Macaca mulatta: one gene and its partner. The protein of the gene in region 1 purifies or fractionates together with the protein of each later gene. This does not show direct contact. Links are inferred from orthologs where the notes say so. Each region holds a gene or a part of one and is shown on either strand. Other genes may lie near its edges.

Region 1 (4,196 bases):
CAGGGTTGGGCCCCAAGGCTGCCACCTTGCAGGAGGCTTAACTGCAGTGCCATCACCTGTACCTCCCCAAGTCCTTCCCAGACCCAGGACCCAGACCAGGCCCAGAGCTCAACCCCTTCAAAAAGGCTCTGGGCAGCTGCTCCTGTGGCCTCAGCACCATCCCCTTTGGCAGAGAGGAATCCAAGGCCCTAGGGCTGTGTGTGTGCTGTGTCCCTTGCCCTCCTCTGCCACTGAACCAGCTGGGGGTTGGATCAAGGCACTGGTACCTTCGCCCTTGGGGTGACCAACTTGGCCAGCAGCAAGAAAGCCGTGGTAGCCCTGGCCTTGGGAGGTTGGCCCCGCTTGTGGGAACAGGAGCTCTGCTCATGGCTGCACCACCAGGCACCCCTGGTGAGACACAAAGCTAGGAGTGGAAGCGGCAGGAAGGATGCAACGATCTCCTCCAGCTGGGCTGAGGAGGGAGGGCTTCCTGGAGGAGGTGGAGGAAGGAGCCTTTAAGGAAGAGCAAGAGTTTGTTGGGCAGCGGGAAAGAAATTTCTAAAGAAAAACTCGGCAGGGAAGACCGAAAAGAGAGAGGGTGTGTGTAGGGTGCTTGGCGGGGCACTGCCTGCGGGAGGGCGGCGGGCTGGAGGGGCGGGGAGGCCCGGGAAGCCCACCCGCCTGGGATGAGAAGGGACACTGTGGAAACTGGACTCTCCCTCACGGCTCCGCGGAGCTCGGTGGGCGCCACAGCCTCCCGGTGCCGGGGAGGGCGGCCGTCGCTCGCGCTCCCGCTGCGGGCCCGGTCTCCGCCAGGCCCCGGCCCCCTGAAGGCGCTCAGACCTCAGTCTTGGCGACAGCGCTGCGGTGGGCTTCGTGCCCGTTTCACGCGGAGGAAGCCACGCTCAGGAGGGAGGGAGTCTGCGCCCGTGTCCTGCACCTGCAGAGCGGAGGGGCGGGGAGCTCAACCCCCGGCAAAACGTCCCCGCGGCGCGTGGCTGCCGCGAGATCAACAAGAGCGTTTTCCAAGCTTGTGTACACGAAATTCACTCGGCTGACATGACGTCAGTTGGCAGATCAGACCGACCCCGCTTCCGCCCCCACGCTCCCACCCGCCCTCTTCTGCCAGAAACCCCGGGAGCGGGCGGGACCGGGCGGGCGCATGCGCAGTGGGCTGCCTGGGCGGGGTCTCTCGCGCCGGGAGAGGGCGCTGCTCCCAGGAACCTGCGCGCGGCTCCGGCGGCGTTTCCAGGGGGCCGGTTGGCGGGCGGACCCGGGCGGTGCGGGGCGGAAGTGGGCGGCTGCAGGACGCGCGCGGAGCCGCGCGGCGGGCGGGACCTGGCCGAGCTGGAGGGCGCCGGGGAGCGGGGCTCGGGCGGCCCCCGAGGCCCGGCGGAGCGGGCTTCTGGGGTGTCTGCGGCGGCGCCGGGGGAGCGGGCTGGGGATGGGGCGCCTAGCCGGGCGGCGGCCGGGGCCTCGGCCATGTTCGCGGGGCTGCAGGACCTGGGCGTGGCCAACGGCGAGGACCTGAAGGAGACCCTGACCAACTGCACGGAGCCACTCAAGGCCATCGAGCAGTTCCAGGTGGGGCAGCCCCCGGGGCGGGGGGAGCCCGGTGCGAGGGCAGGGCTGCCTGCGCCGGAGTCGGGCCTGGCGGAGGCGCCGGAAGTTTTCCGGCTTTCTCTTGGTGTCTGAGTCTTGTTTTGGGGGTGGAGTCCGGAGCCAGCATCCCTTTGCTGGACGGCTGGGTGGCTTTCGGTGGCTGCGGTTACCGCCAGCACGGCTGGGAACACCTGGGTTCGTACCTCCCTGGGTTCGAGCTCTTAGAACCTTGGGGTGCCCGGGCGCACTGGGCTGCGGCTGAGATTTCTCTTGACTTCCTCAGACAGAGAATGGCGTGCTGCTGCCCTCTCTTCAGTCGGCCCTCCCTTTCTTGGACCTGCACGGGACGCCGCGGCTGGAGTTCCACCAGTCGGTGTTCGATGAGCTGCGGGACAAGCTGCTGGAGCGAGTGTCAGCCATCGCTTCGGAAGGGAAGGCTGAGGAAAGGTGGGTCAGCGGGAGGGATGGGCAGGTGAGATGTGCGGCTGTTTTCTCAGCCTTGGATCGACTCAGGGGCATTTATCATCCTTTTGGCTCCACATCCTTGCTCCCAGAGGTGGCCTGGCTCTGTGTCTGAGTGTGGAGCCTTGCCCCATGTGTCCTGCGCGTGGAGGCTTGTCCTGGTAGCTGTTACCTGTGTGGGGACAAGCAGGTAGCTGCTCTGATCTGGCGCATCGCTGCACCATCAATCTTGTGAGTTGTTGCAGGTACAAGAAGCTGGAAGATCTTCTGGAGAAGAGCTTTTCTCTGGTCAAGATGCCGTCCCTGCAGCCCGTGGTGATGTGCGTCATGAAGCACCTGCCCAAGGTAGGGTTCTAACCCTAACCCGGACGTGGTGGCGTGGACCGTCCGCCCACCTCTCGTGCCCTTAAGTTGGTGGAAGTTCTGGTGGCCACCTAGCTCCGGGAGCTTCCCACGCCACCTGCCGTAGTGCTGTCTATGGTGAGCTTGTCTGGCTTCTCCTGCATGAGCAGCGTGGAGACTGAACCTTAGCACTGGAGTTGGGGTGTGGGGCCCGCCCTGGGATAGAGCTGTTGGTATTTGGCTTGTCTGCATGAACCTGCTGGGGCCAGGGAACCTGTCATAGGTGTCCTGTGGGGTGGGGCTTAGCGGGAGGTGGTCTTGGGGGGGGGGGCTGAGGTCTCTTGGCTTGTCTTAAGGGAGATCCAGGGACACAGGGGCCACTCACAGGCTGCCTGTGGTGTCATGTAGGTTCCTGAGAAAAAGCTGAAGCTAGTCATGGCTGACAAGGAGCTGTATCGAGCCTGCGCCGTGGAGGTGAAGCGGCAGATCTGGCAAGACAACCAGGCTCTCTTTGGGGACGAGGTTTCCCCGCTGCTGAAGCAGTACATCCTGGAGAAGGAGAGCGCGCTGTTCAGCACAGAGCTCTCTGTCCTGCACAACTTCTTCAGCCCTTCCCCCAAGACCAGGCGCCAGGGCGAGGTGAGGGGACAGGCCGTGTGCAGGGCGGGGCACCTTTTGGGGGTGCCATGGCTGGCCCCATCAGCTGCCTGGGGATCAACACCCTGCTGCCCTGTGAATGGTTGGATGGTTCTGCTTCTTGGCTGGGCGGCGGGGGAGAGCTGGCCTGTACCCGTGCTGGAAAGAATGTTGGTGGTTTTTATGTTTGTAGTTTACTTTTCTTTAAAGTGATATATGGACAACATTAAAATCCACAGAAAGGCCCCTAATGAGAAGTTACAGCACCTGCCTCCGCTACTTCTTTTTTTTTTTTTTTTTTTTTTGAGTCGGAGTCTCGCTCTGTCGCCCAGGCTGGAGTGCGATGGCCTGATCTTGGCTCACTGCAAGCTCCACCTCCCGGGTTCACGCTATTCTCCTGCCTCAGCCTCCTGAATAGCTGGGACTACAGGCGCCAGCCACCACGCCTGGCTAATTTTTTGTATTTTTATTGAAGACCGGGTTTCACCGTGTTAGCCAGGATGGTCTCGATCTCCTGACCTCATGATCCGCCCGCCTCGGCCTCCCAAAGTGCTGGGATTACAGGCGTGAGCCACTGTATACGGCACCTCCCCGCCCCCGGCCCACCTCTAAAAAGCAAGTTCTGTTTGGTCCTTCAACTTTTTTTTTTCTGTTTCACGAAAACATGTATTAGATGACAGCTGTACATGGCCTAAGCTGTGTGTGGGCTGGTAAAGGCTTGAGTGCTGGCTAGAACCAGGAAAACTGCTGTCCCGTTTTCATGTTCACAGAACAGCTATTTCTCATAGTTGGGCCAGTCCTATGGCCTGCAAAGGAGGTAAACATTTTAAAGCAAGACTTAGCTGAACTGGAATGGAGCCAGAGATGAGGGCACTAAGCCAGACCTCCCAGGCAGTGATCTAACAGCTTGTTCTTGGTGTCCCGGCTCTTTTGCTCCGAACACGGATGGGGAATGTGAAGGCTCTCTTCTGGCTGGGATGAAGCATCTAGGTGATAAGAAATCCAGAGAGGGGCTGAGGAAGGGAGGCAAGAGTTGCTTTTTATTGACTTGGAAGTGGGCTCTTCAGTGAAGCCCCTTTGGGTTTAAGAGCATTTTCCTGCTTCCTTGTTCTTCCGGCAACTTCTGCTGCCTGAGCTGCCATGCTTGTAATCCAGCGTCCATTTCCTGTGACAGC
Region 2 (3,643 bases), on another chromosome or scaffold:
CCTCCTTGGCTGGCTTCTCCACCACCTCCGCATCTGTGGACAAAACAGGCGTCCTCACCAGTGCCCAGGTGCGTCTGCAGGCTCAGCTCGGGGCAGCAACAGGGAAGCAAACAGCTTCCCAGGAGAGGCCGCCAAGGAGCGAGGAGAAAAGCAGGCGCCCACCCACAGAAGAGGAGCCTCACAGGGGCACAGCCCTGCCCGCTGAGCGTGGACACGCCCCACCCCACCTGGGCAGGGCCCGCAGGGACCCCCACTGCCGCCTCCACGCAGGCCCCAATCCCCACCGAGAGTCTTCCTTCTCCTCTTCGCCTCTCGGCCAGCACCGACCATATCCAGCTCAGAGATGTCCAGCAGCTGCCAAGACAAGCACAGCCCTGCCTTAGTGACAGCACCAGGGCACGGCAGGCCTCAGGGCGCCACAGGAGCTGGGGGACGGGCCCACCTTCACACCCCGTTCTTTCCTCAGCAGTGTCCTGGAAGGCGGGATGGGGGTCCGGTTCCCCGTGGGGCTGAAGACGCTGGGCGCCGTGGGGCTTCTGAAGGGCGCCTGCTTCGGGATGCCTTTGAGTGGGGCTGGAGGACGACAGCAACTGTCAGGGCCAGCAGCAGGGACCGGCAAACATCCTCCACCCCCTCTGAGCCCAGAACATCCCACCCCTTCTAGGCTAGCGCTGCAGTGGGGAAGGGCCAAATCCCTGGCGGGCAGCGGGCAGGACCCCCAGAATCCCAGACCTCAGGGAGCAGGGGAGTGCCTGGAGCCACAACCTCACACTTTGCCAAGACACCAAAGACAGCGGCACCCCAGCCCAGCCACAGGATCTCACCCGGTGGAGTCTCTCACCAGCACGGGGGGCTGAGCTCTGGCTCCTTCCCGTACCTCCACAGGCAGGGGCGCGAAGCCAGGCGCCTGGGCTCGAGGACTGCCCTCCCGAGCCTTGTCCTCCTGTCCCGAGGACGCTCCTGAGGCCTACGCCATTACCCACCAGTGCCCACACACACCCTCCAGGGCATGCATGGCTCTCATGGTGCCAGGACCGGAGAGAGGGTGCCCGGCGGACCATGCCGTTAGCACACTGGGACAGGCTGGACACACTGCTCAACAGCTGGCCCACCCTCCCTGGGACAGCAGGTGCAGCCCCAGCCCTGGGATGCCTGGCTGGGGTGGAAAGACAAGGGTCTGCTCCAGGCGGGGCAGAGGAGAGCAAGGTGGAACCTTGGCTGCGGTGGGCAGGAACGTGACCTGGGGATGGCCCCCCCACGCAGGGACAACAGTCAGCAGACCCAAGACGCCTTCTACTAGGTCCCATGTGAACACTGTGGAATTATGGGAGCCCAAATAAACTGAGCCAGGCTGGTCCGGGGGCTGCATGGAGGGTGCCTGCAAGGCTGCCCTTTCAGCACCACCCATCTGCAGTTTACCCAGCTGTCTCAGCACAGGACGGCACCCGTCCTGCCCTCTGGCCCCCAGGTCACTCTCCAGCACCCTGTGGGGTGAGTATGCCCTGCTGCGGTTCCCAGGGGCACGCCGTATTCCTGTGATCAGGGTCCATTCTGCTTAAGCTCACACCCGGCCCTGAGAGCACAAATCAGGAAGGGCAGATGGAGGGGTGCAGGGGCGCAGCCCCGCGGGCGGCAGAACACGGTCACGCCCTCCCCGCGCAGCCTCCCAGGGACACTCGGAACCCAAGAGCAGCACTTGGGGCTGAGAACCCGAGCTGGGAAGGCCGAAAGCTGCTGCCGACAGCAGAGAAGCAGGGGCCAATGCTGTCCTCCGATCCCGGCCTTCCTGTCTCAGCACCCACGCACCCTCCCAGGGCGCTCCCCAAGGGGAGAAGCTGGTACAACTGCCCCGGTGCCTTCGCTTTCCCGCGCGCTCCCAACACTGCTGCCTGCGGGTCATTCACATGCACCACCTCCCCAACAGGGAGCCGAGTCTCCAGGTCAAGCTCTTAGCTCTGCCCTAAAAGCAAGGCTCGCAGCACCGGGGTGGGGGCCTTACTGGTGGTGTCCATCTTCCGCAGCAGCCCCCGGCCCTTGGCGTGGAAGGGCACCCCGGCGCTCCGCTTCAGCTGCTGGGCGGTCTCCGTGGCTGGAAGGAAGAGGTCACATGTGTCAGGGATCCTCAGAGTGAGAGCTCTTGGCCCTTGTAAACGCATCTCTGTCAAGCGGATTCATCCAACGGCCTGAGCCGTGAACACTGCATTCTCTCTAATGAGCAGCTGTTTCGAGCAGGGCCTGACACCAGCTCGCACATTACAACAAGTCAGAAACTCACTCAGGTGAGCAAGTTTCGGGAGCTGGGTGGCTGTGGCTGCACCTCCCAGGACCCCACGGCAGGGGGAAGCAGCAGAGAAGGAGTTGAGGGGCCTCACCGGCCCACTCCGACGACCCGGGCCTCCCCCTGGCTCAGTGGGAGCGCCGTCCTCGCTGAGGGTCAGCAGGCATGGTCTAGACACAAAAATATGAGGAAGAAACAAACGAAGAGATTTTCCTGACTTGGTTCAGTGAGGCTGAAGGGTCAGGGGACACTGAGTGCCCAAAGCACAGCCTGAGGCCGCTGCTGGCCTCCAAAAGGGATGCGTTCCACTGTGGGGTGGGGCCCAAGGGGCCAGCAGAGTCCTTCATGGGCTACCCGGTGCCCCTGGGGCTGCACGGAGCCTCCTGGACAGCGCTGGGCCCCGGCTGCTGCCTGTTCCAGCCAAGACCCAAGCACAGCTGCTGTCAGCCTTTTATTTGGATTCTCTAGAAACGGGGTATCGATGTACATTATAAATATTCATTCTGTAACCATTCAAAATAAAACGATTTTATTGTAATCTTTGTCGTGCTTTGGGAAAACGTTAAATGAAATGATTAAATATCTTTCAAGTCAAATTGAGATCACTGGCCACTCAAGAAGGTAGCAACGTGACAGTAAGGACGGTGCCCCTCCAGCCATTCACAACGGCACCCATCGTGCCCAACAGCGGGACTCAGCTGGCACAGAGTTCATTTGGTAACAGAGATTAGAGATGCCTTAACCTAAAATTCTGAAGTTTTTGATTTCTTTCTTTTTTTTTTTTGAGATGATGTTTTGTCCTTGTTGCCCAGGCTGGAGTGCAATCTCAGCTCGCTGCAACCTCCGCCTCCCAGGTTCAAGCGATTCTCCTGCCTCAGCCTCCCTAGCAACTGGGATTACAGGCCTGCACCACCACGCCTGGCTAATTTTTGTATTTTTCGTAGAGACGGGGTTTCACCATGTTGGCCAAGCTGGTCTTGAATTCCTGACCTCAGGTGATCTGCTGGCCTTGGCCTTCCAAAGTGCTGGGATTATGTAAGCCACCACGCCTGGCTTAAATTCTGAAGTTTTTAAAGCATGTTTTCAGAACACAAAGTTTAATATAGTGATAAATAAACTTCTAACAAAAAACTTTGGCCGGGCATGGTGGCTCACGCCTGTAATCCCAGCACTTTGGGAGGCCGACGCGGGCGGATCACGAGGTCAGGAGATCGAGACCATCCTGGTTAACACGGTGAAACCCCGTCTCCACTAAAAATACAAAAAATTAGCCGGGCGAGGTGGCGGCGCCTGTGGTCCCAGCTCCTCGGGAGGCTGAAGCAGGAGAATGGCCTGAACCCGGGAGGCGGAGCTTGCAGTGAGCCG

What was found.
Region 2: the proteins of NELFB (region 1) and NELFA purify together in Homo sapiens (affinity purification with mass spectrometry; 8 studies listed by BioGRID and IntAct, counting the BioPlex papers as one, with this or other methods). This does not show direct contact. The link is inferred for Macaca mulatta from reciprocal best matches to the Homo sapiens genes NELFB and NELFA.

Annotation. Positions count from the first base shown.
Region 1 is NC_133420.1:5,193,525-5,197,720, reverse strand, and holds the start of NELFB (negative elongation factor complex member B), read left to right. Parts: upstream 1-1,278; 5' UTR 1,279-1,317; coding exon 1,318-1,563; intron 1,564-1,864; coding exon 1,865-2,028; intron 2,029-2,288; coding exon 2,289-2,388; intron 2,389-2,793; coding exon 2,794-3,024; intron 3,025-4,061; exon of another isoform or gene 4,062-4,196. UniProt on the Homo sapiens protein: Essential component of the NELF complex, a complex that negatively regulates the elongation of transcription by RNA polymerase II.
Region 2 is NC_133410.1:2,108,087-2,111,729, forward strand, and holds part of NELFA (negative elongation factor A), read right to left. Parts: exon of another isoform or gene 3,569-3,643; intron 3,197-3,568; exon of another isoform or gene 2,847-3,196; intron 2,449-2,846; exon of another isoform or gene 2,276-2,448; intron 2,090-2,275; coding exon 2,000-2,089; exon of another isoform or gene 1,308-1,999; coding exon of another isoform or gene 842-1,307; intron 574-841; coding exon 443-573; intron 355-442; coding exon 285-354; intron 34-284; coding exon 1-33. UniProt on the Homo sapiens protein: Essential component of the NELF complex, a complex that negatively regulates the elongation of transcription by RNA polymerase II.